2 linked regions of the Ovis aries genome follow. The protein of the gene in region 2 interacts with the protein of the main gene of each other region in a biochemical or structural test. Links are inferred from orthologs where the notes say so. Each region holds a gene or a part of one and is shown on either strand. Other genes may lie near its edges.

Evidence for each region. The genes of interacting proteins can lie anywhere in the genome.
Region 1: of the proteins of histone H2AX (region 2) and PPM1D, one has a biochemical effect on the other in vitro, tested with the Homo sapiens proteins (3 studies listed by BioGRID and IntAct). The link is inferred for Ovis aries from reciprocal best matches to the Homo sapiens genes H2AX and PPM1D.

The regions. Positions count from the first base shown.
Region 1 is NC_056064.1:12,011,669-12,015,316, forward strand, and holds part of PPM1D (protein phosphatase 1D), read right to left. Parts: intron 1,103-3,648; coding exon 545-1,102; 3' UTR 1-544. UniProt on the Homo sapiens protein: Involved in the negative regulation of p53 expression. Required for the relief of p53-dependent checkpoint mediated cell cycle arrest.
Region 2 is NC_056068.1:29,402,690-29,406,128, forward strand, and holds histone H2AX, read right to left. Parts: upstream 1,949-3,439; 5' UTR 1,876-1,948; coding exon 1,444-1,875; 3' UTR 640-1,443; downstream 1-639. Other genes in the region: HMBS (porphobilinogen deaminase), read left to right, coding at 1-27; DPAGT1 (UDP-N-acetylglucosamine--dolichyl-phosphate N-acetylglucosaminephosphotransferase), read right to left, coding at 3,163-3,228, 3,312-3,439. UniProt on the Homo sapiens protein: Variant histone H2A which replaces conventional H2A in a subset of nucleosomes. Nucleosomes wrap and compact DNA into chromatin, limiting DNA accessibility to the cellular machineries which require DNA as a template.

The DNA of each region.
Region 1 (3,648 bases), on a different chromosome or scaffold from region 2:
TGGCTCAACACTTCGGCTTCTATGAAAAATTTAGTTCTGGATTATGAAATTAGAAATAAAAAATAATTTAAAAAAGACACTAGCTGTCTCTAAGAAACATTAAGTGAGACACAGGTCACTATGAAAATACATCACTTTTCCAGTTTGCTTAATAATTTACTTTAAAAAGTTGTGTAGTTTTCATCACAAGTGACATACAAATTTCTTAATAAGCATTTTTAAAAGTTTTAATGTATTTCTAAAATCTAATAGATTTTTTTTTTTAAACCTTTAGCCCTGTTGTTACATTTACTGTGTATCAGAGTAAGAGACTGAGTTTGTGTGAAGGATACAAATTTACACACATTTTACAGCAACTTACACCCTAACATCTACAAAATTCACATTTATAATACAAGCAAGTACAAGGCCAGGCTAAAATTGTTGAATTCCAAAAAGTCAAACTCATACTATTTTTATTTTGTCCCCTTAAAAAAAGTTCAACTTCGGCACCAAATTCAAAAAAGCCCTCTTAAGAAGTTTGGAAAAAATTTCCAAACATATTTCAGCAAACACAAACAGTTTTTCTGTGCTGGTGAAGTAAAGGATTCCCAATTTTCTTCTGGCCCCTGAGTCTGCGTCGCATGGTAAGTTTAACAGAGTTCTTGCGCTGGGAGGTTGTGGGGAGGCTTGCAGGCTGAGCACCACTGCTACGACTTAAACCATTCCGTCTGTGCTTCTTCATAAGAGGGCCAGAGTTGGATTCTTCTAATGTCCTTTTGAAGTTTGCCGGAGGGGTTCTTTCAACTTCTTGGGCTTTCATTTGACCTGGGCTCGGTATCTTCACATTTTTTTGGTCCATGATGGTGTTTGTTGAATTGGTAGGCCCCAGGCCAACAGACAGGCTATTATTCAAAGAATCATGTATCCTTAAAGTCAGGGCTTTAGTGCAATTTTCTTCTAGTGGCTCTGGATCTTTTGAGGATATGACTGCAGCCTGGACATTCCCTCGAGCTATCTCAGGTGGGACTTCTAAATAATTCTCTGAGAAGGCATTACTACGAATAAGGGCAGGTATATGGTCCTTGGAGTTCAGCCTTGGCCATGGGTCCTCCTCCAGGGGCTGAAAAACAAGAAGGTAAGACCAAGTGAGAAATAATTTATCCTAGAATTCAGCTTAACCATTGGGGAAATGAAAGGGTTTCATTAGAATAAATGACAAAATTGTTTACTTGGGGGGTTTATTTCCTACTTTCTATATTTAATTTCTGAATATTTAGTAGTGTGGAAAAAGTAAAGTGCGACACTAAAGCAATTCTGTCACAATGGAAATTCAGACTGTCGCTTTGTATCCATCTCCTGAACACTAGATGCTGTTCTGGGATTTGAGAAAATAGGATATATGGGAATGTGCTAAGTATGGCTAGGGCAACTTGCAAAGATACAAACAAAAATCATATGCAATTTTCAGGTGTTGTTTCTTAAAAGCTTCACAAGGAGGCACAGCTGTGCACTACTTTAGGTGCAGTGCACCAAAGCTAAATGTCGGAATATCCTCCCATCTCCAGACAAGAACATTCTTCCTATCAAATAAAAATCCTCCACTATTTTAATATTTTATAAAATCACTATTTCAATAACTTTCTCAAGGACAAATTTTAAGCATAAATACTTCCTCTTCCCCAAATGTGTGTATCATTTTCCTCAATCTTTCCTCTTTCAATCAAATCAAATTTATTAAAATATTTTCCGAAAATAAGTAAATCCTTTTGTATTTAGAATGGTAAATAAAGATATATTATTAGTCACCTTCTGATTTAAAATTCTCTAGGAATAAACACCTTTTGAAAAAGTACTTTATAAAAAAGCATATTTGTAAAAGTAATGTTTCCTTTAATGTTTCTAGAATTAAGAAGAAAAAGGGAAACTGCAGGAATCTAAAAGCATTTCAACTTAACCATAAGCATGAACATGCTTTACTAAGAAAAATAAACCGACTTTAGGTCCACTGGAGGCTAGAGATGAGAAACTCTGAAGTTCCTAACGTAGTACTGCCCCAAATAGAATACTGCTATGCTTTTTAGAATGCTTTTATTTATTTATTTGGCTGTGCTATGTCTTAGTTGCAGCATGCAGAATGGTTGCAATATGCAAACTCTTAGCTGCAGCATGTGGGATTTAGTTTCCTGACCAGGGATTGAACCCAGGTTCCCTGCATTGGGAACCTGAAGTCTTAGCCACTGGACCATCAGGAAAGACCCTTAAGCAAAAAAAAACCTAAGTATATTTCTTTCTTTCTGGGGTCACTGGTTCATTTATTTATTTTACATTGCATGGTTTATGGAAAGCCCAATTCTTATCTGTTTTAACACTGACTAGATGTTGGGCAGCAATCTTATTTTGAAGTACTGATGTTGAGAATGGATAACAGAACAGTCTCTATTCTCGAACATTCACATGTGGCTTTCAGCAATATCAACGACAACCTGTCTGTAAATTTATCCCCTCTGCATTAGGTTGATTCCAGTGCCTACCCTGATCACAAGCATATACTGACTGATCACAGAAAACTATACCTCACCATACGTAATTGTTGACTAAAGGTTCATCTTGCTTTAATATAAAAAAGGATTTGCAACAAGACCAGGCAGCAGATAAATTCTGTAGACAGAAGATTTCCTACTACCAAACAAGCACATTACTAATTTAGGGACAAGGAAAAAAGATACTAATCAGGCCACTTATAGGAAAAGAACATAACTGCTTTAGCTTGTACAACGAGGTTTAGACATTAGATGGAATTTCTTTACAAAAGAAAAACAATGGGATGATTTTAGAGTTAACACAGTTTGTTGTAATTTCTGTTGTGCTGTGTTCTTTTAAACTCACAAACTATTATTCTGATACCACAGGTGCACTGACTTTTCTTCCCCTACTTATTCTTTAACTTTTCCATTTCCTTCTCTTCTTATTGGCATTCTATGGGAATATACCGCATCTGTTTGCGCAGCCAACCGCTTAGACTTCTGAGACTCATTTCAGATTAATTACCACCTGTATGCTAAGCCTTCTTACATGTTCATAAAACACATGATATTGAGAGGTTACATCCTAAAAATTCACACTTGCAAAGATCACACTTCAGAGATCCACTTTGAGAGCTCCATATATTTACAATCCAACAGTAAACAGCTAATTACAAATTGTGCCTAGAATGCAACTGAAACTAAGTGCTAATCCTCTGAAAGAACTCTCTTCCTCATTCCTCCTTCCTAGAGCTCTTGGCTTACTTAAAAAACAGCTAAAATTAGTTTTGCCCTAAAGAAAGATGGAGAAAGAAAGGTGTGCCATAGTAATATATCACTTAAACAGAAGTATTTCTACTATTTTTGTCCCAAAACAAAGATTTGAGTACTGATTTAGCTGACAATTCAAACAGAAGTTGACATGTCTGTAGAAGTCTTAAAAACCATTCAAAATCAACCAAAATGTCATTATATTTATCTAGATGCTACTAAACACAGGATTATTATTATAACAATGAAATAAATCAGAGATACTCATGAGTAGCCATGGTTAACTAAGATAAAAGAAACAAAACAAAACACAATCTCTTGAGCAGAAATCTGTCTTTATTTACTTGTTAGGCCAGAGCCTACAATAGTGATT
Region 2 (3,439 bases):
GCATCAGCCTGGCCACGTTGTTGCTGAACAAAGGAGCCAAGAATATCTTGGATGTTGCACGGCAGCTCAATGAAGCCCACTAATTGGTCTGTGGGGCACAGGTGCCTGCCTTGCTGGTGTCCAGTGCCTACATCCCAGCCCTCTGCTACCTGAGGAGTGGCTACCCCCACAGGATTGAACTGCAGGGGCAGAGACTTCCAGAGACTTGTCTCACCGAGGGGCCTTGCCTCCCCAGGAGGCAAGGAGGGGGCTTCCTCTCTAGAGAAAAAAAAAATCTTAATAAGAAGCCACAGCCTTTGAATGTAACCAGTTCTACTAATAAACCAAATTTAAAGGTGGTTTTTGTTTTTGGTGGAGCTGCAGAAAAGGAAGGACAAACTCAAAACTCTTTATTTATGCCTGATCTCTGAGGCTAGGACCCTTTCAAAGTTCTCCTGAAAAACGCCTTCTGTCAGTAGTTCCCATTTTTTGACAGAATCGAGTGTCTCCCAGGGAACGCCAAGAAAGCCATCATCTTAATAATCTACAATTTGTCGCTCCAGTTAACAGTAAAGCCTTATATCGGTTCCCCTCCCCCACTACCTTTAGGTATCTACAGAGTCGACTCTACAACCCTTTTGCAAAATGAACACAACTCACTTTTCTTTAGGAAAAAACCCTTTAATAAAATTAGTCCATCTGAAACTCCCCCCAATACCTAAAGTACTAGTTTTGGATGGGTTAGCTGCAAAATTCCAGTTCCGAAGCCAAAGGCGGCTCAGTCCAGACGGGGATTAACGGACTTGTGCTGGTATCTAGGTGCTTGGCAGGCGGAATGGACCCGACGGGAAGGGAGTGGGGAGGAGGGGCGGGCCCGGAGGCAGGGCTCCCGCAGACCCCACGCCGCCAGGACCCGCTAGTATTGGAGACGGTCACGCCGCGAAGGGTTTCTTCCAGTACGCGCACAGGCCTGCGAATGAAGATGGAGGGAACGCGGACGTGCGAGGCCCGAGATCCGGCAACAAAAGGGGTCCTGGGACGAAATGAAGCAACCGATTGACTCCGCCGGCGGCGACAATCGAGTCCTGTACTAAGCACCGAGCTGAAGCAGAGCGCACGGCCTCGGCGGCGACCGTCCGCACCGACTCACCTTCCTCCCGCACTCCCCGGCCCGGCTTTCCGGAAGGTGCCGCGGCCTCCCCGCAGCCCATCGGCATTCTGGGGCCAAGCCGGCCGAGTCACGAGCTCGCTCCCGGGGCCGAGCGGCGTTCGAACGCACGCCCTCCGCCGGGCTTCGGCGGGAGCCAGCCGCGGGGGGGAGGGGCGGGCCGGGAAGGGGCGACAGCGCGGCCGCCAGGCCGGGAGCCCGAAGTGGCCCAGCTCTTTCTGTGAGTGCTGTGGTGGCCCTTAAAAGGGCCTTTGTGGTGTAGAGGGGAGGGCTGGGCGGTGGCGGCACGGGCGCCCTCAGTACTCCTGAGAGGCCTGGGTGGCCTTCTTGCCGCCCGCTGGCGCCTTCGGCCCCACGGTGGCGCTGGTCTTCTTAGGCAGCAGCACGGCCTGGATGTTGGGCAGGACGCCTCCCTGGGCGATCGTCACGCCGCCCAGCAGCTTGTTGAGCTCCTCGTCGTTGCGGATGGCCAGCTGCAGGTGGCGGGGGATTATCCGCGTCTTCTTGTTGTCGCGAGCCGCGTTGCCCGCCAGCTCCAGGATCTCGGCGGTGAGGTACTCGAGTACCGCCGCCAGGTAGACCGGCGCGCCGGCGCCCACCCTCTCGGCGTAGTGGCCCTTCCGCAGCAGCCGGTGCACGCGGCCCACGGGAAACTGGAGGCCTGCTCGCGAAGAGCGCGACTTGGCCTTGGCGCGGGCCTTGCCGCCGGTCTTGCCGCGGCCAGACATGCTGTATGAGGTAGAGGAGCGGTGAGGACGGCTAACAAAACACAGGAACAACCACCCGCCGCAGTCTAACGCTTCCGCGCGCGACCACGGGCTGCCCTTATAAGCCCCTCAGGGCACACCCCCGCGCCTTTCTGATTGGCTCTTTTCTCGAATACCCGCCTCTGGTTGGCTGAGGTTAACTCTTCGGTGACGCGCCCCAGTTGAGGGAACGCGTCCGCCGATTGGCCGAATTTGAAAACCCTTTGCCCGGGGAACACGGGAGGAGGCGCAGAGACTACCCGACAGCCAGCCAGTCTCGGCTGTAGCCAATCCAAGTGAAGCGCGCCAGATTTAAACGCTATAGCCCGAGACCAGAACCGGAAGACAAGAAGGGTAGAATCGGAAGCCACCTCAAGAGCGTCTGGGAAGTCTGCGCAAGGCAGGCCTAAGATTTTTAAAGGAAAAGAGTCAACACCACAACTACCTCTGCCTCCCGTCCTAGGTCTGGTCACTCCCTCCTCCTACCTGGCAAAAGAAGAGTGAAAAAGGGAAGGAATGAGACCCCCACTTAAAGTCCAACCCTACCCCAGAGAACAGATAACCCCAATCTTATGGCCCTTTATGCCACCCAAGCAGCAGATTTCACATTTATTCAACATGTTCTGTCTGGTCTGTTCTTTCTGATCACTTCTTGCTAGGAGGCGCCTGATGTGCTTAAAAAAAAAGAAAGAAAGAAAAAAGGATGGGACAGAGATAGGCATCCTCTCCGAGGAAATACCTCCTTCAACCTTCCCCATCCACCCTACAATGCCCACATAGGAAATATACCTATAGGAACAAGAAGAAAAAGACAATACTTTATTGTCACCACTGGGAGCACCTGGCCCCCGGTCTGCTCTTAATCATCAGAATACTTAATTTATAGTCAAATGTCAAGTCACCTTTGAACCTGTGTCTCTATCCCCAGCCAGGGTTCTGTCCCCAAGTCCAGCATTCTCCTTGAGTGTCAGAGTTGTGGGCAATTGCATAAAAGCTACAGTACCCCAACTTAGGAGGCAGCAAAGATGGGATGGAGAGGGAGAGTGGCAAGCTGAAGAAAGCCATAGGCAAAGTCCAATCACCAGTCATTAGAGAGTGAGACAGGCCCACGTGTCAATAATCACAGGGGAAAGGAAATGCTGAGAACAAAATCTGGAGGAAAATGAAGGGTGGGAGAGGCCTGGGCTAGTTGGCAGTCTTGGTCCAGGAGATGTTGGCCTGAGTCAGTAACCCCGGAGGCTGTGAAGCAAAGGGCAATGGATCGGGGCCTCAGACATCATAGAAGAGTCGGACAAGCTGGTACCGAATGGAGAAGGTGACAGCACTACCAACGACCTGCAAGGAGAAACGAACTATAGTAAGAACCCTGGAGAGAGGGAGACAAGGAAGTGTAAACCACACCCCCAATAGCATTGCACCTGTAGCAGCAGCAGGAAGAGGGTGAGGTTTCTCTCATGCATGGGCCCAAAGACTTTAAGTAGCAAGTTGATGAGGGTCATGTTGTTACATTCAGTGAAGGCACCATCCTCATTCTCACTGTGGCGCA